7 linked regions of the Macaca fascicularis genome follow. The protein of the gene in region 3 purifies or fractionates together with the protein of the main gene of each other region. This does not show direct contact. Links are inferred from orthologs where the notes say so. Each region holds a gene or a part of one and is shown on either strand. Other genes may lie near its edges.

Region 1 (4,145 bases), on a different chromosome or scaffold from region 3:
TGGAAAAATAATTTTTTAAAAAATCTATTCTAATTGACCCAAACTTCTTTTGAAATGTCGTAACATTTCTAATTCTTTTTCTCACATTAGTTGTTTTGGGAGATGGAGAGAGAAGCATCATTTTAATCAATGTTTTCTAGACCTAACAACTGTGATGTCAATCAAACATTTTGTCCACCATTTCCATCATCAGTAATCTGAACTGTGAGGTTTTGCTGACATAGTGTTACACTACAATGACACTACTACAACATTACTGTTACTATATGGGGACAACACTTTCATTTTAAGTAGGAAAGTGTTAATAATTTGGCTTAATGTTTTTTAACTAAAATTAGTTTTAAAAGAGGACTGAGTTGGCTTATATACATGTATGCAGTCCAGAGACCTACCTGTGAAAATGTCAATGCCATTACAATTTCACTTTATGCCAGATATCATTCTTGAACTTCAGGCTCATTATCTCTTATAATATCCCCTAAAACCTTTCAACAACTTTGAGAGTGTATTTTATGTTAATATATAAACTAGTTCATAATTTTGTTACAGACTAGAAATCAGTATTTAATAAATGGAAAAATAAAAGACTGAAAATCTTTTATTGAGTAAATTTTCAGAGGCCTCTGATCATACTTTTCAACTTGTGCCTATTTATTGAATAACCAACATCCCTACAGTTAATATTAAAATCTTTAAGTTGTGTGAGGTTTATTGGAGGGTAGGGATGGGGAATTACCAGCAAACTCTGCCTCCCGCAAACCTCACCTAACCCGAAGCTCCCCGTCTCAGACTCCCGGGGAGCCAGGGGTAGGCTGAGGAACGCAGCCTACCTTTACCCACCTCCCTACCTAGTGCTGGGAAGCGACGGCAACGGAGACACCCGGCTCCTGGGGCTGGGCTCGGAGGACCCATCCTGCTTCCCCCTACCAGCCTTTCTGGAGCTCACCATCCTCGCTTCACACCGCCAACACCCTGCCTACCCCTCCTCCGCCGCCTGCACCCGCCCCCTCCTCCAGCCGACAGCCAATCACAGCCTTCCACAGCCTTGGGTTTACAGAGGTAACGCTCCTTGGGCCCTCTGGTCCCGCCCCCTCCAGAATTGCTTCCCGCCCTTCGGGCTCCTTGCCCAATCACGAGCGCCCGAGTGCTCTTTGGTGCCCGTCCCCTCTACCCGCCCTGCCGAAGACCCGCCTTCTTCTCCTTAAGCCTGACGGAATCACCTGACTCGGAGGCTCTCCCTCAGAAGGAAGGCAAGACGGGGCGTGAGCATGGAGGGGAGGGGCGCGAGAAGGAAGGGGGGGATGCCGGGAGCGGGGCGGGTCGGGGGGGGGGGAGGAGAGTTGTCAGTCCGATCTCGCGAGAGAGGACGGAAGCCTGTGGGAGCCCGTGGCCTTTAAAGTGCCGTTCAGCCTTTTCGTCCAGGGGTGGTTTGTAAACACGGCTGTGCTCGGGGCTCGCGAGTGACCGAAAGGATCATGAACTAGTGACCTGGAAAGGTGAGTAATGATGGGCAGAGGTCAGCAGGGCTGGAGACTGTAGGGATACGGAGAAAGAAGGTGCTAACATGGCGACGTCGCTCAGCACAGTCCCCACCCCCCGTTTCCCATCACCTCGGGTGCTCCTGACGTGCTTCTTAGCCCTTGGGGCGATTGTGGCTGTGATGCCACCTTAGCGGCCCGCGCGGTTTGGGCTTTGGGAGACTGACTGGCTGGGCCGGACCGTTAGGTAACCAGGGTTCGTTGTTCCGGCCCCTCCCTCTCGCGCGCTTTCCTAAGGCAGAGGAAAAAGGAATAACGGCTCCTCTTAGACCCCTCCCTCCGATTTATCTTCCCCCTGCTTGGGTCAGTTCAGAGGTCCTCGGGGCGCGCGTCGAGTCAGCCGTGTGCGCAGGGAGACCTCTCCCACCCACAGTCCTTGGGTTGGGCGGGGAGAGGGCCCACTCTAGTCTCCCCACCCAGTGTTCAAGCGATTGAGGACCGTGTATTTGTGATGGTGGCGGGGAGGAGGATCGGGAGGCGCGGCTGAAAATAGAATCAGGGTCCCTGGCTGCGGTGCAGCCTGAAGGAAAGAATGGTGTGAAGAACCTGGGAGCTGCAAGTCTCGGCCTTTTCCGTCCTTTCCGCCACCCTCACAGTCCCGCTACCCCCCACTTTTTCCCGGTGGGGCGGGGCTTAGGTGTGGGTGCAGAGTGATTCTGGTATTTTCCCCTATTTTTTTTTTAATCTCTTTGGGTGGACAGCAGACCTTATGTAAAGAAATAATTTGCTTTTCATCATGCCCTAGGAACCAGGGCCGAAAGGGAGTGTGTGTACGTGTTTTCCATGTTCGCTCGTTTAACCGAACCTAGGAGGAAAAAGAGAGGAGGAGCTGGGGACTATTTTTGTGCCCCTAGGTAGTATAAAATTGGCTTTCCTTAATGGAGAGTCTTAAAACTGGTGAGGCCAAGAGCAAAACTACTGTGAATATCATGTAGTAAAAGAGATTATTCCTGATGGACCTCAGGCATCAGAAATTTTACTGAAAGAAATGTTTCTCTTAAAATTCAACACCTATTTTAAATAGTGATGTAAAGCATTTCTTTACATGTACCTTCAGGTTTTCTAATGCTTTCCTGGCTATTATTTAACTGGTACTAAGGGATTGACTAATCCCTAAATTATAATGTGAAAGTTTAAATTTCTTAGAGGTTTTAAATTATGGAGACGTCACAATGCATGCATTTACGATATACATTTAAAATCAGAACAAAAACTGACTTCCTTTGAGCACACTTTTTGTCCTATTTGAAGAAACATGACCACTGGCGTTATCATTGTCAGTAACAGCCGTTCTAATCTTTAAATAGCCATATAGCTTTGGTCTCATGAATCAAAATTATGAAGGTAAAGCTTTATAAAAGCTTTTTAAAAAGTAACACCTACAGGTTTAAGTGCCCTGAAGTGCAAACACAGAAACAGTTTTATCATGTATTCATTTTTTTTCTTACTCGAGGAATCCACCGTAAAAACTTTGTTTCAAAATGATAGGAACATCCTTGTAAAATACGTTTTAAAAATAGATACCCTCTGCAGATTAAGAAAGTTCATGGATCTTTAAGGCCGTCAGTAGTTGCGTAATAGTTAAGAATCCTCGTCTTTGTAAAATAATTTCTAGGAATCTTCCAGATTTACCGTGATGTGTAAAAGAATTTCTGAGAATCTTCCAAATTTGCCGTGATGTGTATGTTGCCTTTCCAAGACGTTTAATCTTGCTTTGAGAGAATGCTACTGCCATTAAGTTTTAAGAAATGATTTAAAATGTAATATCGTGGAAATTTAGAACTTAGATGTTATGTATTTTAATTGTCAGTAAGGAAGGAGCTTTCAGGGACCTTTTGTGTGTGTGTGTGTAGGGTATATAATACCTTCTGTAGCTCCGGGTGCATTTCCTGAAAATCCTTTTTAAAATACCTTATCCGAATGTTTATTTCGTATTTGGGGCACTATATTATTATTAGTTAAATATGTAACCCAGGAATTCCTGCACTTTTTTCTTTGGCGTTGTTTTTTATTTTTAAGCTGAGATAATAGAGGCTGGGCGCGCGCGGTGGCTCATTCCTGTAATCCCAGCACTTTGGGAGGCCGAGGCGGGGGGATCACGAGGTGAGGAGACCTTCCTAGCTAACACTGTGAAACCCCGTCTCTACTAAAAGTGCAAAAAACTAGCCGGGCCTGGTGGCGCCTGTAGTCCCAGCTACTCAGGAGGCTGAGGCGGGAGAATCCCTTGAACCCGGGAGGCGGAGGTTGCAGTGAGCCGGAGGTTGCAGTGAGCCGGAGGTTGCAGTGAGCCGAGATCGCTCCACTGCACTCCAGCCTGGGTGACAGCGAGATTCCGTCTCAAATAAATAAATAGTAGAAATGGTTGTCAGCATTTTAACAAATAATGGGGGTGGAGGTACTCTTTATTGGTATTCAGGATCTGAAAGCTCTGTGAGTATGGTTGAAAAATATTCCATACATCAAACATCTATCTATAGGTAGCGTTAACTCTTCAAAGAATAATGTACATTTTTTCTACCCAACTTTTTGTATTTTGGAAAACTTGAGTTTTAATGATACATACATTCTTGTCTGGTAAATTGTTAGATCATGTTAGATCAGGTAGTC
Region 2 (3,500 bases), on a different chromosome or scaffold from region 3:
GCTTCTTAGGAGTCATTCAGAAGTACAGCACCCTTGGCTGGGTGTGTGGCTTAACACCAGTAATCTCAACACTTTGGGAGGCCAAGGTGGGAGGACTGCTCAAGCCCAGGAGTTTGAGACCAACCTGGGCAACATGGTGAGACTTCACCTCTACAAAAACTAACCGAAAAATTAACTAGGTGGCCAGGAGCAATGGCTCATGCCTATAATCCCAGCACTTTGGGAGGCCGAGGCAGGTGGATGGCTTGGGCTCAGGAGTTCGAGAGCAGCCTGGGCAACATGGAGAAACCCTGAGTCTACTAAAAACACAAAAACCAGCGTGGTGGCTCACGCCTGTAATCCCAGCACTTTGGGAGGCCAAGGCAGGAGGAACACCCGAGGTCAGGAGTTCGAGACCAGCCTGGCCAACATGGTGAAACACCATCTCTATCAAAAATACAAAAATTAGCCAGGCGTGGTGGCACATGCCTGTAATCCCAGCTACTCGGGAGGCTGAGGTGGGAGAATCACTTGAACCTGGAAGGCAGAGGTTGTAGTGAGCCAAGATCGTGCCACTGCACTTCAGCCTGGGCTAGAGTGAGACTCTGTCTCAAAAAAAAAATAAAATAAAATAAAAAAAATAACCCCAGCATGGTGGTGCACACCTGTAATCCCAGCTACTCAGTGGCTGAGACAGGAAAATCACTTGAACCACAGAGCCAGAGGCTGCAGTGGGGCGAGATAGCATCACTGCACTCCAGTCTGGGCAACAGAGTGAAACTCTGTTTCAAAAAAAGGAAAAATTCACCAGGTGTAATGGTGCACGCTTATACTCCCAGCTACTCAGGAGGCTGAAGTGGGAGGATGACATGAGCCTGGGAGGTCAAGTTTGCAGTGAGCTGTGATCTCTCCACTGCACTCCAGGGTCTCACTAAGAACAGTACCCTCAGAAATAGACCCATGCGGGACAGCACATGGTGGCTCATGCCTGTAATCCCAGCACTTTGGGAGGCCGAGGCAGGCAGATCATTTGAGGTCAGGAGTTTGCGACCAGCCTGGCCAATATGGTGAAACCTTGTCTCTACTAAAAATATAAAAATTACGCATGGTAGCACACACTTGTAATCCCAGCTACTTGAGAGGCTGAGGCAGGAGAACTGCTTGATCCCGGGAAGCGGAGGCTGCAGTGAGCAGAGATTGTGCCACTGCACTCCAGCCTGGGTGACAGAGCAAGACTGTTTCCCAAAAAAAAAAAAAAAAAAAAAAGGGAAAGGGAGGAAAAGAAAAGGAAGAAAGAAGCCCTTGCAAGTCTGCTTCAAGAGGCAAGTGCTTTAGGGTAGAGAGGTCCATGTCTCCAGCACTGTGCAGGACGCAAGAGGAAGGTTCTGCAGTGAATGAGTGCCCATGGGTGGCCACAGCTGCTTTTCACAGCCCAGGCAGGTGTAATACCAGCCCAGCAAGCCATACTTGGAGGCTTAACAGCAGTGTTGGTGACAAAGGCCCTTCCTGGAAAGCTGCGGCCGTGCCGGCACCCACCTGCCTCTGAAAGTTCAGCAGCCTGAGGGCCTTGAGCTCAATGGTCGCTTTGGTTCGCAAATCCCCGGCCAGGGACCCGGGAAGGTTTTCAAGTTCCTGAATTCGGTGTGCAATGCGAGCCTGCAGCCTGGGGGCAGAGAAGAGAAGGAGCAAAGGCAGTGAGAGGCTTGCCAGGGCACCCGGTTATAGCTGGAGCTGCAGGGGACCCATCCCTCAAGGAAGGAAGGTGCTGGTCATGAGGCAAGAGATGCCTCAGAAGAGGATGCTGGCCGCAGGGCAGAGCAGAGAGGGAGGCAGCCAGGGACACTCCTCAGGACCGGGCCTCAGGGGGCAGCAAACAAGATTCCTGATAGGCGCGCCCAGTTCATGCCTGTTCAGTGGTGTGAGCCAGGTTCTGGCATCAGGTGGGCCGGGGTTTTCATGCAGCCCTGGCATGGATGAGGCACAGGGCCGTGAGAATCTACTTCACCTGCACACCTCAGCATTCTCATCTCAAAACTGAGGCGACCCCTTGGAGAGACCCTAGAGGTGTGGTCTGAAGATTACAAAGGTTACATAGGAAGGTTATGTGAACTAATCCTCTTAATCAGTCTTTCCGCACATACTCATTGAGCACCAACTGTATGCCAGGGACCATTTTGAGCGCAGGGCCTTACCACTAAACAAGATCAGCAAGTCAAGGAACTCTCAGCCTCATTAGAAAAAACAGTCCATAACAGAGATTTAAAAAAATAAAATAACCACTGCAATTCCAGAGAGTGGCTGGAAGTGACGGGAAGGGCCTCCATAAGGAGGGAATCCCAGCAATGAGGCCTGAATGAGTAGAAGGAGCCAGCACGGCCTGTGCAAAGTTCCTGGGGCAGGAAAAAGCCTAACTTATTAAATAAATGAAAAGAGGAACAGAGAGAGTGGGGTGGGTGAGGAAGGATGCTGGGCAGGAGTGGACATAGGCAAAGATTATTGGGCAGATAATTGGAGTTACAGGCAGGTTTTAATCTAGGGAGTAGATCTGACGTCAATCAATCGTGAAAAGAGAACTCAGGCCAGGCGACGTGGCTCACGCCTATAATCCCAGCCCTTTGGGGGGCCAAGGCAGGCAGATCACCTGAGGTCAGGAGTTTGAGACCAGCCTGACCAACATGGAGAAACCCTGTCTCTACTAAAAAAATATAAAATTAGCCAGGCGCAGTGGCGCATGCCTATAATCCCAGCTACTCAGGAGACTGAGGCAGGAGAATCGCTTGAAACCGGGAGATGGAGGTTGTGGTGAGCTGAGATCGTGCCATTACACTCCAGCGTGGGCAACAAGAGTGAAATTCCATCTCAAAAAAAAGAGAATTCAGACTGCTGTGTGGGAAACAGACCGCAGCCAGAGTGGGAGCAGGGAGGTGAGGAAGGAGGTGTAGGCCAAGTGGCAGCGGTGGGCACAGGGCACTGTTTCCTAAGGCGGGGGAGAAAGTTGAGTGGCTTCCCCAGGGGGACATATGGGACATATGGGAACTGGGGCTACGCCCTCACCTGTACTCGCGCTCCTGCAGGATCTCCACAGGGTCGAGGCCCCGCGGCTTCTGGATGGGGGTGATGCGGCTCTGCTTCTGGTGCAGCGGCACCATGGGTGCGGGCTGGGCCGGCTGCCCGGGGGACTGGGTCTGGGGTGGCATCACAGGCGAGGCGGCAGGTGGGACGGCAGGGGGCGCAGGGGAAGGGCGACCCGTTGGCTGCGGGGGGATCAGTTTCTGAGGGGTGCTCGTGGGGGCAGCAGCATTCGCCATGGGTCCTGGGAGGAGGCAAGGAGCCAGGGTATCGTGTTGAGCTCTGGGGCCCATCCAGGCTGGAAACAGAAAGCTGCTGGGCTGCTCGAGGCCCTGGGGACAGGCAGACCCCGCCCATCTCCCACCTCTCACCTAGGGGTGTCCCTCACACCCGCCTTGGGCGCCAACCTCCTCCAGATCTCAGCCTCACCCTTGTCCCTCACACCCTTCACT
Region 3 (3,732 bases):
CAACTACACTTACTAAAAGCATCTGCCCTGACTCGGGCTCAGCAGGACCAAGACCTGAACCCCTCCTCCTACAGTCACAGGCCTGCCTATCTAGTCCCCAAACACAGGGCAGGGGTCACAGACCTCCCAGCCCTTCCAAACCCAAGCCTGACACTCGGGACCAGTCAGAGGTCCCGGAATCTCTTCTCAAGCAGGGTTCCCAGCCACCGGTCCCGGCGCCCAGGAGCTCTGAGTTAGCCCGAAAGCCTGACCCATTACTCTTCTCCCCTTTCCCCCAGGGCTGGAACCCCATCTCCAAGCAGACCCTGTGGGTGGGGGGAGGGTGTAGCAGAGGAGGCAGAAAAACCAGCTGCAACACCCCCACCAACCACCAAAACCTCCAAAAATAACAGCAGCCCCCCACACACAACCCACTACACACCAGAAACGCAAAAACAAAATCCTACAAATCCAAAATAAAGCAAAAAAAAAACAAAAGCCAATTACTGCCCCCAAAAGGCTTTGTAACCATTCTCAAAAAAAAGTTTATTAAAAGTGTTCTTACTTAATGCTTGAAACGGAAGATTCCCAAAATATACAGACGCCTCTTTTCTCATAGAAATAGATTATTTTTTATAATACAAAAAAAAAGACCAAAAAACAAAACAAAACAAAACATCAACAGCAACAAGCCCGTAGGAACATCTTTAAGCGATTACTCAGGGCCCGGCTGACAGTTACACGTGGGTTGCGTCAGTCCCGTGTACACACGCGTTCAGCCATGTTTAAACCGATTGCATCAACTTCGAAACCGGCCCGCCCGCCGGCGCCTGGAGAGGGGCAGAGGGAGAGGCAGAGAGTTTATCATTCATCTGTACACATAGACGTTTCTTCTTTAAATAACACCACGGGCGGGCGCCCCATCTGCATGTGCGGTTGGTTTGGACAAAAATATAGATATATATATATAATAAAATATTAAAATTACCGACGGGCTCCCCGCGCTGCCAAGTGCCCCAGTGCCAAAGTTTTGCCGGCGCCGCCGGGGGCGGAGGCGGGGGCGCGGGCGCGGGCGCTTCCCGGAGTCTCGGCCCCGGCCGGCAGGGGGACGCGCGCGGGGGCCGCGCTAGCAGTGGCCGGAGGAGGCGAGCAGGGGCTCGGGCAGCTGCTTGAACAAGTTCCGCAGGGTGCTGAGCTCGCGCGACAGCTGCTCCACCTTCTTCTGCAGCCGCTCGTTCTCGGCCGTGAGCTCCAGGACCTTGTGCTGCGTCTCCAGGTTGCGCATCTTGGCCTTGTCGCGGCTCTTGCGCACGGCGATGTTGTTGCGCTCGCGCCGGATCTTGTACTCGTCGCTGTGCTTGTCCACTGTCTTCTTGGCCTTGCTCTTGACCTGCGAGGGCGGCGGCGCGGCCCCCGCGTAGCAGGCGGCCGGGGGCGCCTTGGCGTCGGCGGGGCTCGGCGTGCCGGGCGGGCTGGACGACGAGGACGTGGAGAGGCTCCCGCTGCTGCCGCTCGGCACCGCCTGGTAGCCGAGGTAAGCGCGCAGCGCGTACGGGAAGCCCGCCGCCATGCCTGCGCCGCCGCCCGGCGCCCCGGCCTCCTCCTTCCGCTTGCAGTCCGCGGGCTCGAAGCCCGGCTCCGCCTTGAGCTCGGCGGGCGGCGGCGGCGGCGGGGGTGGCGGGTGCAGGGGCGCGAAGCAGCCGGGGTGCAGCGCGCCCTTGGCGGCCCCCAGGCGCCCCAGGCTCACGTAGCCGTACTCGGCCGGCTTCTTGCAGTTCTTGCCCCCGTAGTCGTCGGAGAAGAGGTCGGAGAGGAAGTCGTGGTGCTGCCCGGAGGAGGCGGGCGCGGGGGCGGGCGCGGGCGGAGCCGCCTCGAAGGTGTCCGTGGCCGTGGCGGGCGCCGGGGCCTGCGGCGCGCCCAGCGGCTCCAGGTACGGGCTGAAGTCGATGGCGCGCTCGTGGTCGCCGATGCTGCCCAGCTCGCCGGCTGGGGGGCGCGGCCCGGGTCTGGCCGCGGGGGGCGCCGCGGGGGCCGCCTTGCCGCCGTACGCAGCAGCCAAGCAGTCCGCCTCGTAGTAGAAGTTGGCCACTTCCATGGATTTAAAGGCAGGCGGCGGCGGCAGGGGGAGACATGCTGGGTCCCAGGCCACCAGGCGTTGCATGAACGCGGGTGCCCGGGGAGGGGGCCTGGGGCTGCCCGCTCCGGCCGGCCCGCAGGTGGCGCGGCCTCCCTGCTCTGAGCTGTCGCCGCTGCGTCGCTGCTGCTGCCGCCGCTGCCGGGGTGGCCGCTATTAGTGCGGGGGCTGGTGGCTGAACCCTCGGGTGGGTCCCCTTCCCAGTCCCGTGCGCGGCTCTGACTCGCTAAAGTTTCTCCTGAGCCCGGTTATTTATAAGGGCGGCCCGTAGCAACCGCTGCGTCACACCGGCCCCTCCCGCCGCGCCGCCGGGACGCGAAGGACACGGCCGCGGCCGCCCGAGACCCCCAGGAGGACGGCGGCAGGGCGCAGCGGAGGACCGGGCACCCGGAGCGCGTTTTCGGGGGGGGTCCCCGGGCCGCAGGGGGCGACCTCACGCCCCCTGCCCACCCCCGCCCGGCCGCCCCGGGATTGGGAGCGAGAGGGGGCGGTGCGACCCCGCCCCCAGACCGCCCCTCTGGGCTGGAGGCTGTCCTGGAAGGCGGGGGAATCGGAGGAGGGGGCGACCTGATCGCCTTCCCCCGGAGATGCGGCCCCGGCCCGCCCCCTGCTGGAGGAGGCGGAGGTTTCAGGAGGACCGAGCAGAGCCCCGACGGCGGACCAGGGGCCGCTCCCCGGGCGGAACCCTGGAGACCCCAGCCCGCAACTCTAGCTCCAGGAGAAGCGACCCATCTCCGTAGCCCTTCCCCCTAAACTCCCACCTCTTCCCCAGGTCCCCGGCTCTAGAAAGGAGTAGACTCCACGCCTGTGACGATTCCCCTCTTAAGCCACCGCCAATATGAGGACCCCGGGGGTCGGGGGGACGGAGCAGGATCGCGCTGCGCTGGGGGCTGGACCCTGGTCCACGGTGTCCCGCCCCTAGCCCCGCCCACCGCACCTGCCGCCTGCTTGCGGCTTGTACACACCCGGGTCTTCTCTTGCCCCGCGCCGCGCCATCCGACCTGGGCCCTGGGATGGTGCAGGGGCGGAGGGGTGCTGGGCCCTGCCACACTGTGTGACCTTGGATGAGTCACTTCTCCCAGCTGCAGTCCATGAAGGGTGTCGCTACTGTCAGCGGTGGTGGCATTGCTCCCACCAGACTCCCAAACCTAAGGCTTACGTTGTGGGCTGCACATCAGAGAGAAAGGGACCCCCATGGATTGTGCCAGTGGAGGCCCAGAGGGAGCATGGCATGGCATACCAAGGTCACATGGCCGCATGTCCCCCATTCATCCCAAACGAAATGCCCTCATCTGGGCCCTAAGACCTATTGCCAGCCCCAGAGGCCAAAAAGCTTCTGTTTCTGAAGCTGCTGGGGAGGGGCTTAAGCCAGGCCTCACGGGAGGGGGGTGGCATGCAGGAAACAGAGAAGGAAAGAGAAAGAGAAGTTTTTACCAAGTCCCTGCCCTGTGCTCAGGGTGGGCCTGGACCCCGAGGTTCTTTTTCACCCCACCAGGAAGATGCTTTTGCTGCTGCCGTTTCACAGATGGGAAAGTGACAACGGCCTGCCTGGACTTGAACACAGACCCAAGGCCCTCTAACTACCGGCCCGCCTCTGCTCCCTAGGCTCAGGTTAGAGG
Region 4 (4,175 bases), on a different chromosome or scaffold from region 3:
TAGCTGAATTCTGATGGTAAATTATGCTGACCAAAAACAGTTCCTCACTTCCCAAGTTAGACATAGCAATTAGGTAGAAAAATAATCTAAGCAAGCTCCATTTGTATTTCTTTTTTCACGTGTTTATTGAATATTTACCTCCCATAAAGTCTTTCAGCCTGTTGGTGGTATTTTACTGTTCAGATATATGTTAGAATTTCACTGATACTGGGTGCGGTGGCTCACACCTGTAATCCTAGCACTTCGGGAGACGGAGGTGGGCGGCTCACGAGGTCAGGAGTTCAAGACCAGCCTAGCCAATATGGTAAAACCCTGGTCTCTACTAAAAATACAAAAATTAGCCGGGCGTGGTGGTGCGCAACTGTAGTCCCAGCTACTTGGGAGGCTGAGGCAGGAGAATCACTTGAACCCAGGAGGCAGAGGTTACAGTGAGCCAAGATTGCGCCACTGCACTCCAGCCTAGGCAACAGAGCAAGACTCCGTCTCAAAAAAAAAAAAAAAAAAAGAATTTCACTGATACTTTTCACAAAATATACAGAAGGCGGCACAAATTCCACCACTATGGCACTCTGCCGCCTTGGGCAAGTGTCTTGATCCTTTGGCCTCAATTTTCTTATCTACAATATTAGAGTAATTGTTATGTGAACTACCTACCTCACAAGTCCTTTGTGGGTCAATTCATAACTGTGCTGTGGGTATTTCTTTTTCTTTCCTTTCTTCCTCCTTTCCTTTCCTTTCTTTCTTAGAGACGGGTTCTCATTATGTTGCCTAGACTAGACTCTAGACCCAATTCCTGGCCTCTCACCATGTTGCCCAGACCAGACTCAACTCCTGGACTCAAGGAATCCTCCGGCCTCAGCTTTCAAGTAACTGGGATCAGAGGTGTGCACCACCATGCCTGGCACTGTGGATATTTTTAAGTGATTATTCTTCCCAAATGAACTACATAAAAAACAAAAGATTCATGAATTTACTAATGGTTCTTTGTGATGGATGTGCTAATACAGAGACTAAAATCAAGGCTCCAACCTCTAAAACATTTTTTTTTTTTAATTCCAGACTTGTTTCCCCATCCCACTGTGCAAACTGAACAAAAACTGGGCTAGCACTCCCGTCTGGAACATGTAATAAGGAAATAAATGTGCTGACTCAGAGAACACAGACATATTTAATATAAAATAAAATAGAAAACTGGCTGAATCAAGTCATAGCACAGTCTAAATCCACATATAAAAGATTGAGATGATTTTCTGCTTTGCTTTATTCAAGCCCAATGCTTTATCAGCACAGCCAGCCAAAAATTTACAACCCATGCACAGACTACGTAAACCTTTAGTTGCACATACAGTAAGACCAGCAGGTACACACTATACACATTTTTAACAAAAAACAATGACTAACCACTGATTTTGTCACCACACTTACAACGACCTGATATGGCACAGGGTGATGTGTATCAAACATGGAAATACCAACTTGGGCGACGGTTTGAATCTTGTTAACTTCAGTGCAACCACACCCCCCTAAATGCAGGTAAACTTAGCACACATGGTTTTGTCAAGGCCAGCCTGTCTTTGTTTCCCTCTCCTCTGCATTTACCCAAGATCTTGGCTCTGAGACACAGAACTCCCACTCTCGATTGGTTCATTCCGTCCTATGCAATTAAGCAACACCACAATCCAGTAAACGCAATGGCTCAATTATTTATCTTCTGGCCGACTTTACCAGGTATTTGGAAAAGAACATTGCCAAGAGATTTATTTATCTCTCTAGAGCTGGCTTGACGGGTTGACGGGGATTTTGTCTTTTTTTCCCCTCTTTTTTACATGGCGGGGGCGTGAGGGGAGCATAGTTTAACCTAGAAAAAGATGGAAGGGAATTTAGAAAGAGTACCGGTCTGTCAATTTCCCTACAGGAAACTTGATTCTTATGCAATAAAGCCTACCCGCGACCAGCCAGCCCGTGAGGCTGCAGGGGACAGACACACCTATTCCTGCCTCCAGAAGGGCACAGCTGGCTCCTGAAGGAGCGGGAACAGGGCAAGCGGAGGAAGTGGCTCAGAGGGAGCCGCCGGCCAGGCGGGGAGGAGGCGCTTTCCGACCCCCACCCGCGCCGGTGATCCCCGCCGGCGTGACAGTCGCTCCGGCGGCCGGAACGTCCCCAGGGCTCCAGGGAGCAGGAAATCGGGGGACTGTCCCTCACTCCTGCCGCCGCAGCCGAGTGCGCCCTCGCCCCACGGTGCCCCCTCGGGCGCGTTCTCACTGTTTCTCCGAAGAACGAAACTTCCCTCCAGCGCCCCGAGTCCCTTCCGAGGCCCGCTCCTGTCATCCCGAAGAGTCTTCCCTCAGGGCGACCCTCCGCGTCTCCTCATCTCTCCCCGCCCCACTGCAGCGTCCATCACAAAATCCCCAAGGTCCCAGAGGCCCCCAACCGCGGCGGCGCCCCCAGGTCCCCAGGCCTCCCCGACGGCCCCACCCTGCACCCCCTTCACCTGTTTCTCCAGCAGAGGCCGAGAGGCCGGGGCTGCGCGTGCGCCGGGGGCGGGCGACGGGGCTCCCTCAGGCCGGAGGGCTTATCCGAGCCGAGGGGGAGAGACAGCGCCGAGCCGGGGTGCCTGTCCAGGATCCGGTTGGGGCTTGTTCCCTCGGCTGCTACGTCGGAACCCCCGGCTCCCCCTCCCGGTCTACGCCGCCGCAGCTCCGGAAACCGCTGAATTACAGCCCCTTCAGCCAATCCCCGCCCAGCCCCAGCCTGGCCGAGGCACGCCGTCATGCATAATTCATGAACGGCCATTTCGCTCGGCCACCCAGAGGTCCCAGTGCGTGTGCGGTACCGACAAAGCCCCGCCCACTGACCAATGAAGAGAGCAGCTAGGAGAAAGGGCGGAGCCAAGAGAAGACTGATACGGCCCTGTGCTGGCTGTTCCGACAGTTCGGTGCTCCTCCCTCCGCCACAGCGAGGGAAGAGCCGAGGACTTGGGCACAGAAGCCCGGGGGGAGGGAGGGAAGATGACCGGAATGTCCTGCTGAAAACTCAGCTGAGTTCCTGGCAGTGCGTGACGTCAAGGCACTTTAAATGCCCCTGATACAGCTCCCTCCTGTCCGCTCTCCCTTTTCCCGGCCCTTGGCACCACGTGGTGGCGAGATTGAGAGCCTCTTACCACGTGGGAATCAGCCAGTTAGACAGTCCCCAGGTATCTCCAGATCCTCTGGGGACCCAACACCTGAATTGGGTTCTGGGGACAACAAAAAGAACATGAGTGACTCCGCCTGCTTTGAACTTCAGTTTCTGCGTGAGCAGGGACACACACACCCGGAAACATGACGTGGAAATAGAGTAAATACTAGAGTGCGTGGGGAGAAATAGTAGATTTAACCCCGTCCTCCGTTCCATCACTTCAAGCATCAAACTCCGACCAGCTAGCCCATTGGCCGGTACAGGCGAATGCAGAAGACGGTGTATACGAAAGTTGATACGTGTAGGGCTTGACATTTTTATGCGTCTGAATTGAAATACATGAAATGTTCCGCCTTTTTCGTTTCCACCTTGCCTACTTGGTATGCAAGTTTTGCTGAATTGAAGCCAGTGGTTCATAGGAAATGTAGACATTTTGCCTTTCATAATAGAGGATGAACTTTGCATAATGGAGTGATTTCTGTGTATGTGCTGATACTATCAGGGTTTTTAATTTTTATTTTTTTAGGGTCTTTAAAAATATGTTATTAATATTTGTGTTTGTTTAATACGAACCGGTATAAAGACAAAAATCTATAAAGGACCCATTATCTCACTGCTCAGATAACCCCTGACATTTTTTTTTTCAATGAAACTAATACATGTTCCTGTTTAGAAAATGCAGACCGTTCAGAAAGGTAAAAAATTTTAAATGAAAATCTTTCCCTACCCCCATCATTCCTTCTCCCCAGGGATAGCTATTCTTATTAATTTGTAGTGAGAAAAATCAATGACTCTTAACCTTTGAAGGGAGTCACAGATCCTTCTGAGTGTTTGAAGGAGACTAGATTCTAGCCCCAGAAACAGCACAAGCTTTCACTCACATGGTTCTCCAGATACCTGAAACCCGTCTAACGTCTACAGATTCAGACCATTCATACCACCTCATATCCAACGAGGGACAGAGGCACCTACAGGGCAATTCATAGGGTCACTGGTGC
Region 5 (3,500 bases), on a different chromosome or scaffold from region 3:
CTTTTCAGGCCAGGCATGGTGGCCCACGCCTGTAATCCCAGCACTTTGGGAGGCCATAGTGGGATTATCGCTTGAGTCCAGGAGTTTGAGACCAGCCTGGGCAACACAATGAGACCCAATCTCTATAAAAATATTAGCTGGGCAAGGTGGTACATGCCTGTAGTCTCATCCACTTGAGAGGCTGAGGTGGGAGGACCGCTTGAGCCCAGGAGGTTGAGGCTGCAATGAGCCATGATCACCTCACTGTAGTCCAGCCTGGGTGATGGAACAAGACTCATTTTGCTTTTAGAGACGGTGTTGCTCCATCACCCAGGCTGGGGTACAGTGGGGTGATCACAGCTCATTGTAGCCTCAATCTCCTGGGCTCAAGCCATCCTCCTGCTTCAGCCTCCCAAAACACTGGGATCACAAGCATGAGCCATTGCACCCAGCCGGGGTTGCTGTTTTAAATTAGGAAGTCAGGGAAGGATTCACTGAGAGTGGCTTTTGAGCAGAGGTCAAAAGGAAAGGAAGAAGGAAAGAGGAGAGGGAAGAAGTCATGTGGGTATCTGGTAAAAGAAATTCAGGGCACTGAGGTGGGAGTATTGGTGCCTGGTGGGCTGTGCAGTGGGACAGAGTATGGGGGTGGGAGATAAATAGGGGCTGGTCATATTGAGTCTTACAGACTATTGTATAGATGTGGCCCTGTGCTCAGAGTGAGGTGGGAAACCACAGAAGGGTTTTGAGCAGAGAAGCAACAAGATTCAACACACACACACACACACACACACACACACACACACGTACATTTTTTTTGAGATAGAGTCTTGCTCTGGCACCCAGGCTGGAGTGCAGTGGCATGATCTTGGCTCACTGCAACCTCTGCCTCCCAGGTTTAAGCAATTCTCATGCCTCAGCCTCCCAAATAGCTGGGATTACAGGTGCCCGCCACATGTCTGGCTATTTTTTGTATTTTTTTAGTAGAGACGGGGTTTCTCCATGTTGGCCAGGTTGGTCTTGAACTCCTGACCTCAGGTGATCCACCCGCCTCAGCCTCCCAAAGTGCTGGGATTACAGGCGTGAGCCACCATGCCCAGCCTTGATTTGTATTTTTAAATGATCACCCTGGCTGTCATGTTGAGAATGGGCAGCAGGGGCAAGACAGAAGCTGAGTGCGCAGAAAGGAGACCATGGCAGGAATCCACGTGAGTGGGTGTGGCGGGGGGCTGCATCAGGAGGGAGCAGTGCAGGTGCGGAGAAGTTGTTGGCTTTGGATCTGACTTGAAGGTAAAGCTGATTTGCTGATAGATTGGATGTGGGGTATGAGAGAAAGGGAAGACTCAAGGGTGACTGAGTTTTCTGGCCAGCACAGCTGTAAGAATGGAGCGTCCATTTGCTGCTGAGATTTGGGATTATAGGGGTTAGGGTGGTGGCAAGAGCAGGAGATCTGTCCTATTCTGCACCCCTGTGGAGATGTCAAGCAGGCAGTTGAATATGTGAGTCTGGAGTTCAGAGGAGAGTCTGGTCTAGAGATAATAGAGTTGGAAATTATCAGCATATAGATGGCACTTAAAAGCCATGAGTCAGGATGAGGCCACCTTCTGTGTCCAGTTGTTCTGAAGAAGCATGGAGTGTGGTGGTCCCTATTTGTATCACTACTAGGACCCAAGCACCCAGACAGTAGAGCAAGGCAGGCAGCCTGCCCCACCCTTCCCTGTAGCAGTGTTCACAGCCTTGGGACCAGGTGTTGCTCCAAGTTCACTTCTGTCTTACACACTTGCACTGTTCCACACTTGGCAACCTTGCATAAGACCCCTGGAATAATAAACATGGTGAGAAGTCTGGGAGGTGGCTTCTGGTGATGTCATAGTGGCTTAAGGATGTCAGAACTGAGGTTCCACCATTTTATTGGCCTTTTCCTCGTGGTGGCAAGTGGAAGTGTTTCACGCTTACTAAACTGGCATGACTGCAGCCTTTGGGCAAGGAGTAGTGAGACTGGCCTAAAAGATGGTCCTAGTTCACCACTTGCAGGTGGCACCCCAACATGGGCCAATTAATGCCACTTTGGTTGGGAATGGGCTTAGGTGCCTTCTCTGCAGGAGCATCATGGGCTTCTCCCAAATTTGGGAAGCTGGTGCTCTGATGCTCCAGGTGAAGTCAGAGGTGAATGGGGTTTGCCCTTGGGTCTTAAATCGAAGAAGAGGCCGGGAGAGGGTGGCTACGTGATGATCCTGAGGTCGTTCCTGGTTCCCAAAGAAAGGAGATGTTTACCAAACAGAATCTGTTTCAGCTTTAAATGATTACAGTTAGTACCAATAGTTATCAATTTGCATATTATCCTCATCTCAAAATCCAAATGCATTTTCAAAATTGGCTAACTTTTACTAATATATTGCTGGTATAATTTTAACTTTGATTTTTATTCTTCACTCACGTGTGTGTGTGTGTGTGTGTGTAGGGGTTTTCACACAAAAGTCTAGAGCTTTATTTTTTTGGGGTCCTTTAGCGCTAGCACTGGACCTTGTCTGCCAGCTTTTGCTGGCAGTAAAAGGCAGTGTATTTGAGATAGGTGGCATTTCTTACTACCCTTTAAATGTGTCCCTTTTGGATTTTATAGGTAGCCCCTGAAGAAGATGAAAGGAAAAAGAGGCGGCGAGAAAGAAATAAGATTGCAGCCGCCAAGTGCCGAAACAAGAAGAAGGAGAAGACGGAGTGCCTGCAGAAAGTAAGTGCCTTCTAGCCTTCCCCTTCCTCTCGCTCATGCCTATCCTCACCAGCTTCATGTGGCTGTCAGAAGAAGAGTTAGAAAACCCCTTACCTGGTTATAATTTCCCAAGAAGGGCCTTGTAGCTGGTAGCAGAAATGCCAGTTGCAGAATAAGGAGGTGGCAAAGCAGTAAACACAATGGATGTGACTGTGGATATATAAAAGCAGGTGTGTGAATTCATCTGATGCCTGACTCCCAGCAGCCTCGGCCAGTTCATACATGTCCATCAGCTTCCAGGCTGCAGGACATGCCAACCCAGTTAAAGAGGCTTCACTTGACTGTTTTCCTGAGAAAAGGAAGCTGCCAGCTCTCATTTGGCTCACTATGAATAGCCTTTAATTAATCTCTTCAAACAAGTAATTTCCTTAATCCACAAGCAGTGGTTACATTTGCTTTGCATTCTTGTCTGGTTCCTAACTCTACAGTCCTTCTCCCTGGCTTAGCCAGCAAGCTGAGCCCCTGGCTGTGTTCAGCCGGCCCGCCTTAAGAGAGATAGAGCTTTTGTGGGTAGGCAGGGTGGCCGGTGGTGCCCAGCAGTCTTTCCAGTGGTTGTGTCCCTCCTCCAAATGTGGTTAGGCCAGGGCAGAGTCTTAACCCAGGTCCCACAGATCCCCAAAGGGTTATGTTGATTGCTTCAGGGGATCAGTGAAAATTAGGGAATTTCGTGTGTTGCCATATACATTTTTTCTGAGGAGATGAGCTTCTCATTGAGATCTGTGACTCAGAATCGACTAAGCCTCCCTGAGTCTGGATT
Region 6 (3,500 bases), on a different chromosome or scaffold from region 3:
ACGAAATAATTCAAACTGAAATTTTACTAAAGCATTTTTAGTGGCTTTTCATTCCTATGAATGAGGAACCACTATGAAAATGACATGGGCCCAGTTCTTTTCTTGCAACGGCTCATTGTCTTCCTTTCATAAATGAGGTCTTAAGAGAAGACAGTGGAAGGAACAGTAAGAAACTGGAAAATAAATGGCTACTCCAGGAAGACAATTTATGTACACACAAAACTGAAACTCACATTAAAACCTAAAAAGAAAAAAAAAAAAAGTGTGCAGAAAATTAGTGAAAACTAGTTCTGTTTTACACACAAACTCTTCATGTGGAAATATTTCAAAGGGAACTCCAAGTTTATAACAAGGAAAGATTTGTTTAAAGCTTGTATTTAGTTGTTAATTTGGTCTGGTTAAATTAATTCAGCAAAATATCTCCATGTTCATCCTCCCTGTGGCCCACTGGTTCCACCAGTAAGGACCCTTTTCTGGTAGCCTGGTAAACATGCTGGCAAAAGACAAAGGGATTAGATGCCCCGTATACCACTAGATCCATTTTCCTAGGAGGGGAAAATAACCCCACCACGAGACCATGTCCACCCACCAATGGGTTTCATAAAATAAACAACATTGTAAACCACCCTGCGGGTGTTCTGTGGCAGTAATGTTCCCAGCTTTAGGGCCTTTCATTTCATGTCATTGTCATGCAGTAGAAAAAACAAAAGTCAGACCAGTACCCTTTCACCAGTCATGGCAAATGGAGCATTGAACCATTGTTCAAATGTGCTGCAGCTCTTAAAAATTGTGGGGAGGAGGAAGTTGAGGAGGGCCCAGAGTTCAGGGAGCTTATTCTGCAGCGGGGTCCCAGTCAAGAGGATCCTTCTGGGGGCCACATAGTGAGTGTTCAAGACCTGAGTCAGCTTGCAGTGGTGATTCTTCATTCGGTGGCCTTCATCCACTATCATGTATTTCCACCGAATCTATAACATAAGAGGAAGGATGGACATGTAGTAAGCAAGGGAAAATACAACTATTTCCAACAAGCAAGTAGTGGTGCGGAAAACCAAAGAACCCATCCTTGGTATATGATATGCTGTGATTACCTTTGAGACAAGAGAATCTCAACAATGTCTCATGCCTGATAGGCCGCATAAGACATCCTGTAATAATAGAATGTTAAAGCAACAATGTTCCTTACAGACCTCGTAATTCCAAATCAACTTTTTACAAAGAAAGAAAGTTGGGTCCAGAATGACATGGTTGTTCCTACATGTGGATCCTGTATCTCCCCATCCAGTGCCCCTTCTAGTAATACTGTATCATGACAGCTATCCCAGATTTCATTGTCATGCTATTTCGGCTCATGACAGGTGCAGAATATAGGTACCCACCTGAAGCAGAGGTTAATGACTGATTTTTCCAAGATGGCCCTAGCAGGTTCTACAGCGGAGATATTCCTGGCTCCATACCTTCTTTTCTATTAGCCTGGCTGGTTACTACCTTTAGGGCTTGGCTGGGAAGTGTGTTTTGTTTTGTTTGGACTGGTTGCTAACATTTAAAAGTTGGACCATTTCACATTAAATTTGTACATACAGCTCTTCAAAAATTAGGTCTGACCTCAATACACGCACATTCCTTACCTGCCAGATCTAGGACCCCTGTTTTATCTAAAATAAAAGTATATACTCACTGGCAGAAAGGGCAGTGCAAAAATATCATTCCTCTATTTATGCCAAAACTGCAGAATTAAATACAGCATACTTCCCCAACATGACTATTGCGTAAAACGTCCAGAATGCTTAAATGGCCCAGTCCTCCATCCTGTCTACACAGTCCCTTTCCTCTCTCATGCCTTGCCCTTCGGTCCTCTTAAGAGCACTGTTCAGTTTCTTAAAGTGAGAACAATGAGGAATGTTCCACTAAGCCTATCCATTCTCTACAAAACAGTGGCTATGGCCAAGAAAAACATCTGGTGCTCAGATGTCCCCAGATCCTGCTGCAAAGCTCCTAGAGACAGAAGGGAGATGAGGGAAGTATTCTATACAGTCCTTGCCTTCCTCATTAGAAGCATCAGACATGCCGGGGGAAAAGGAATAAAATTATCAGTCAGGCTGGGATGTATAGGTAAACAAACAAACAAACAAAAAACCTACCTCAATTTTTCTTCCTTCCTCCACCACCTCTAAGGAAAGTGCTTAAAGGATAATTAAAACTGTACAATCAACTGCCTCAAACTTACCAATAGCATGAAAAGAGGTAAGCAGACAAAAATATATTTAAATAAATATCCTAAATCTACTTTCTTGCCTAATTTAGCTTATGAAGTAATAAAGAATCAGAGGCCTTTGATTTTGCTATTGGGTCTACTACTAATTAGGTCTTCCACTTGGACAAAATTACTACCCCTTTCTATAGCTCCATTTCTCCAGTAACAAATAAAAGCAATGCATCTCATTACCAGGCATCTCCAATGAATCTTGAAATACATATGCAGATGACACAATATGAATTTTTTTAAAAGGATCTCAAATGTACAAATACATTCCCATAGTAATATTGAAAACACATCATTTTTGACACTGCCAAATTCATCTCTGAGTGTGAGGAGGTGGAACACAACATTGTTGCCAGTGCCATCTCAATTATTAAACCTCCCCTGGGAACACATTTCCTTTTTGTTATTTCCTATGATGCCATGAAGGGAACTCTCAGTTCCCAGAGCAAGAGTTTAATGCAGAGATAGAATAGACCCCAGAAATAGAGGTTCTATTCAATTTTGGACATAACTTAGTTTCAGATTATAGTGCTTTCAAAACATCATGGGGTAAAAAAAAAAATTACTAAAGAGAAAAAAAATGAGTTTTCATTATTTGTTCCATGAGAGAGAGTACTTCCATCTTTCTACATGAATGTACTAGAAGACAAGATGATATAAATGGGGGTAAAAACTTCTACTTTGTGGCTGAGGAACAACTTAGGACACACAAATTAGGAGACACGTAAGTCACAGAAACACCTCTTTCTCAGTTTCAAATAAATAGTCACAGAAACAGCCTTGAGTAATCCAACAATGATAGTCTATTATTTCACCAGGAAAAACCTGAAACAAGACTACCACAAAAGCCAATGCTTGGATAAACGTTCATATGGCGGAGACCATATGCAGAGGTGTCTGGCTCATCTTTGGAGAAACAAAGGCACAAGAGGAATGAAGTTACACTGACAATATCTCAGGGCAACAAAAACAATTATTTCTCTCCCGAGAATGTTCAAAGCTGTTGGAGAGAAAAGAGTTGCAGAAGCAACCAGGTGAATTTTTCTAAGAGATGTAAACTCATCAACTCTGAGAGGACAGTCAAGAGCCATTCCAGGATCAACCATACACACACACACACACACACACACACACACACACACACACACACAAATAGCATGCATGAAATCAAATCCATGACCTAAATACATCAAACTCTGACAAAATTTTTAAAAAATAAAGAAAGGGACAAGCCATCTAA
Region 7 (3,500 bases), on a different chromosome or scaffold from region 3:
ATTGAATCATTCTCCTTCCTGGCCAGTGTATTCTCTTTTCAAAACATCTCTTTATTTTCCTCTCTTACTAACATTACTCTCAGTTCCCAGGCTCAGACATTTACTGATTCTCCACTCTGTGCTCTTCTGGATGCTGATTCTTGCTTGGATTTTGTATCTCAGAAGGTTCCCCAACTCCACCTTTATTCTGGAAAAAAAACTTGAACTTTCTTATTGTTCCCTGGCGAAAGGAACATGAAAAAATATTTTTAAAATAAAAACTTCATTGGAAAAGGGCGTGATAGAGCATGCCTAGAAAATCCCTATTTATAATTAGAAACATAATACAGCCCCAGTAGATATATTTCTACTTCCATGGACCTGCGTGAGATAGATTTATTTTTCTTTTTTCTTACAATCTGGGTCTTTCAAAAAGTAATTCCTTCTGAAACTACCTGAGGTTACTGAATATCCAGAGGTCACTGAATATCCAGAGGAAACCTAGAATTAGCCTAGTGTTTCAAGGGATTTAATGACTCAGACCGTTTGCTGGCTTGGGTTTTGAGAAGTCCTATATTATTCCAGCAGAAATGAAAGCCTGAGCAGCAGTTGGAACCCAGAGTTAAGAATTAATTGATGGCCAGGCACAGTATTTCACACCTGTAATCTCAGCACTTTGGGAGGCTGAGGTGGGAAGATTGTTTGAATTCAGAAGTCCGTGACCATCCTGGGCAATATAGTGAGAACCCATCTCTAAAAATTAAAAAATAACAAACAAACTTTGAAGTAAAATAATTAACTGAAAAAGTAAAACATGGAGACAACTATTGTTATAGAAAGCTCAATCTCACAGTGTAGATCAGCAAATTAGGCTCTAATGCAAGGTTTTTCAGTTGGAGCATTCAATATTGACATTTGGGCTAGTTTTTTTGTTGTTGGAGTGGAGGGTTCATATATGTTTTACAGCATATATGGCCCCTCCTTGTTCTTAGATACCAGCAGCACTTCCCCAGTTGGGTCCACCAGAATGTTTGCAGACATTGCCAATGTCCTCAAGGGGGCAAAAATTACTCTTCATTGAGAACCATGGTCCTGGAGAGAATGGTGTTAGAGTAGCAACTTCAGTATGCCACTAAATAAATTCTTGTTATCCAATTAATTCCTCAACTTTCTTAGCACCACATAGTTGTGGTTTTCTTTCTACTGTTCTATCCATTTTTCCCTTGGAGACTCCTTTTAAACTTTTTGTTGGTTTCTTTCAGGATTTTCTCTGAAAAAATAATAAATTATACAACTAGAAATGTATGTAGTTTATAAATTTTAGAATCAGTTTATCAATTTCTACTAAAAAGAAGCCTACTTGGAGTTTGACTGGAATTGTATTGAATCTAAAGTTCTACTTGGAAATAATTGACATCTTAATACTGAGACTTCTGGTGAATGAACACAATATATCTCTTCGTTATTTTATTTGGGTCTTTTAGTTCTCTCATGTTTTACTCATTCCAGTCTGTTACTCTTATACATTCTTTATTATGTTTATTCCTCCTCCTAAGTATTTAATTATGCTATTTAAGACAGGGTCTTGCTGTGTTTGTCAGGCTAGCCTTGAACTCCTGGGCTGAAGAGATCCTCTCGCCTGAGCCCCCTGAGTAGCTGGGACTACAGATGTGTGCCCCCACACCCAGTTTTTATATTACTTTAAATACTTTTTTTCTTCATGTTTAAAATTTTTCATTGCTATTATATATGGATATATAGTTGAGTTTATTGCCCTTCTATCCTTTGACTTTGCTCAGCTGTTTAGTTTTAGTACTTTTTTTTATAGCTTCCTTGGAATTTTCTATATAAACAGTCATGTCTCTCTATATTAGTAAAAATATCAGCCCTTCCTCCCTCCCTCCCTCCCTTCCTTCCCTGTTTTCTTTCTTTCTATCACTCTTGCCGCCCAGGCTGGAGTGCAGTGATGCAATCTCGGCTCACTGCAACCTCTGCCTCCTGGGTTCAAGCGATTCTTGCACCTCAGCCTCCTGAGTAGCTGGGAATACAGACACACACCACCATGCCCGGCTAATTTTTGTATTTTTAGTAGAGAGGGAGTTTCACCATGTCATTGGCCAGGCTGATCTCGAACTCCTGACCTCAGGTGATCTGCCTCCGAAAGTGCTGGGATTACAGGCGTGAGCCACCATGCTTGGAATACTTCTTTCTTTATAGTATGCATGTCTTTTATTTATTTTTCTTGCCTGATTGAAAATAATATAAAGAAAGCCATCAAATCTTTCTATTTATGCTTAACTATTTGCATTAATTTTTTTTTTTTAAAAGCTATATAAAGAACTTCTAATATTACACATTACTTTCTTGTTACTGGACATTAAAGCATCTGTTTTTTCTGTTTTAGGCCCTGGAGATGTATAAGGATGATTGGAACAAAGTGTCGGAACATGTTGGAAGTCGTACTCAGGATGAATGCATCCTCCACTTTTTGAGACTTCCCATTGAGGACCCATACCTTGAGAATTCAGATGCTTCCCTTGGGCCTTTGGCTTACCAGCCTGTCCCCTTTAGTCAGTCAGGAAATCCAGTCATGAGTACTGTTGCTTTTTTGGCATCTGTGGTGGACCCTCGCGTGGCATCTGCTGCAGCAAAAGCGGCTTTGGGTACGGACTTCCCTAAACCATCTCCTCAACAGAAAAACTCAGTTTATCTCAATTTGAATATTACCAGCCATTACATTCATTTCTTTTAATGTAAATAACAAAAATCAGATATTACCTGTGAAAGATACCATATTCTTTGTGGAAGTATTACAAAATTTTTAAGTAATGCGTCTTAAAATTAAGAGCTTTAGGAATTGGAGGGACAGAGGTTTTTTATTGTATATTTTGTGATTAATTTATAATTTGGTATAACTAGCAAAGGAAGTCATTTGATATTCATGGGTTACACATTAATTATAACTAGAACTTCGTCACATCATAGAACTCTTTCTTGGTTTTATGGGTGTTTAATCCTTGCTGTTTTTGTTTTTTTGATTTATTAATCTAGTAAGCAAAGTTAAAATATGGACAGCAGTTTTGATTATTGCTGGTATGAGTTGAAAGATCTCTTATATCAAGGCTCTGTGATGTGTAGGATAAAATGTAGAGCCATAGAATTTCATTATTATTTTTTTAAATCTCATTTAGTCCTCTCATTTTGCTGGTGTAGAGGGACTGAGAGCCTGAAGAGGTTGCTACACCTAAGACAATAATATTGTGTTGGGTTTCCCGATGGTGGTTTTACACTGAAGCAAATTTTTGTGCAAAGTTAGATTGCTGTTCCATTTTTATTCTTGAACCAGAGGAGTTTTCTCGGGTCCGGGAGGAGGTACCGCTGGAATTGGTTGAAGCTCATGTCAAGAAAGTACAAGAAGCAGCACGAGCCTCTGGGAAAGTGGATCCCACCTACGGCCTGGAGAGCAGCTGCATTGCGGGCACAGGGCCCGATGAGCCAGAGAAGCTTGGTGAGTCACTGCT

Evidence for each region.
Region 1: the proteins of CEBPB (region 3) and ATF2 purify together in Homo sapiens (affinity purification with western blotting; 3 studies listed by BioGRID and IntAct, with this or other methods). This does not show direct contact. The link is inferred for Macaca fascicularis from reciprocal best matches to the Homo sapiens genes CEBPB and ATF2.
Region 2: the proteins of CEBPB (region 3) and SMARCA4 purify together in Homo sapiens (affinity purification with western blotting; 3 studies listed by BioGRID, with this or other methods). This does not show direct contact. The link is inferred for Macaca fascicularis from reciprocal best matches to the Homo sapiens genes CEBPB and SMARCA4.
Region 4: the proteins of CEBPB (region 3) and STAT3 purify together in Homo sapiens (affinity purification with western blotting; 3 studies listed by BioGRID, with this or other methods). This does not show direct contact. The link is inferred for Macaca fascicularis from reciprocal best matches to the Homo sapiens genes CEBPB and STAT3.
Region 5: the proteins of CEBPB (region 3) and ATF3 purify together in Homo sapiens (affinity purification with western blotting; 3 studies listed by BioGRID and IntAct, with this or other methods). This does not show direct contact. The link is inferred for Macaca fascicularis from reciprocal best matches to the Homo sapiens genes CEBPB and ATF3.
Region 6: the proteins of CEBPB (region 3) and SMARCA2 purify together in Homo sapiens (affinity purification with western blotting; 5 studies listed by BioGRID and IntAct, with this or other methods). This does not show direct contact. The link is inferred for Macaca fascicularis from reciprocal best matches to the Homo sapiens genes CEBPB and SMARCA2.
Region 7: the proteins of CEBPB (region 3) and SMARCC1 purify together in Homo sapiens (affinity purification with western blotting; 3 studies listed by BioGRID, with this or other methods). This does not show direct contact. The link is inferred for Macaca fascicularis from reciprocal best matches to the Homo sapiens genes CEBPB and SMARCC1.

The regions. Positions count from the first base shown.
Region 1 is NC_088386.1:70,725,901-70,730,045, reverse strand, and holds the start of ATF2 (cyclic AMP-dependent transcription factor ATF-2), read left to right. Parts: upstream 1-1,345; 5' UTR 1,346-1,496; intron 1,497-1,635; exon of another isoform or gene 1,636-1,725; intron 1,726-4,145. UniProt on the Homo sapiens protein: Transcriptional activator which regulates the transcription of various genes, including those involved in anti-apoptosis, cell growth, and DNA damage response.
Region 2 is NC_088393.1:11,557,530-11,561,029, reverse strand, and holds part of SMARCA4 (transcription activator BRG1), read right to left. Parts: intron 3,347-3,500; coding exon 3,034-3,346; intron 1,643-3,033; coding exon 1,516-1,642; intron 1-1,515. UniProt on the Homo sapiens protein: ATPase involved in transcriptional activation and repression of select genes by chromatin remodeling (alteration of DNA-nucleosome topology).
Region 3 is NC_088384.1:106,283,149-106,286,880, reverse strand, and holds CEBPB (CCAAT/enhancer-binding protein beta), read right to left. Parts: upstream 2,342-3,732; 5' UTR 2,141-2,341; coding exon 1,106-2,140; 3' UTR 501-1,105; downstream 1-500. UniProt on the Homo sapiens protein: Important transcription factor regulating the expression of genes involved in immune and inflammatory responses. Also plays a significant role in adipogenesis, as well as in the gluconeogenic pathway, liver regeneration, and hematopoiesis.
Region 4 is NC_088390.1:63,447,410-63,451,584, forward strand, and holds the start of STAT3 (signal transducer and activator of transcription 3), read right to left. Parts: upstream 2,801-4,175; 5' UTR 2,794-2,800; coding exon 2,492-2,793; intron 1-2,491. UniProt on the Homo sapiens protein: Signal transducer and transcription activator that mediates cellular responses to interleukins, KITLG/SCF, LEP and other growth factors. Once activated, recruits coactivators, such as NCOA1 or MED1, to the promoter region of the target gene.
Region 5 is NC_088375.1:70,419,775-70,423,274, forward strand, and holds part of ATF3 (cyclic AMP-dependent transcription factor ATF-3), read left to right. Parts: intron 1-2,596; coding exon 2,597-2,704; intron 2,705-3,500.
Region 6 is NC_088389.1:97,065,529-97,069,028, forward strand, and holds part of SMARCA2 (probable global transcription activator SNF2L2), read right to left. Parts: intron 966-3,500; coding exon 723-965; intron 1-722. UniProt on the Homo sapiens protein: ATPase involved in transcriptional activation and repression of select genes by chromatin remodeling (alteration of DNA-nucleosome topology).
Region 7 is NC_088376.1:110,591,731-110,595,230, reverse strand, and holds part of SMARCC1 (SWI/SNF complex subunit SMARCC1), read left to right. Parts: intron 1-2,383; coding exon 2,384-2,642; intron 2,643-3,325; coding exon 3,326-3,487; intron 3,488-3,500. UniProt on the Homo sapiens protein: Involved in transcriptional activation and repression of select genes by chromatin remodeling (alteration of DNA-nucleosome topology).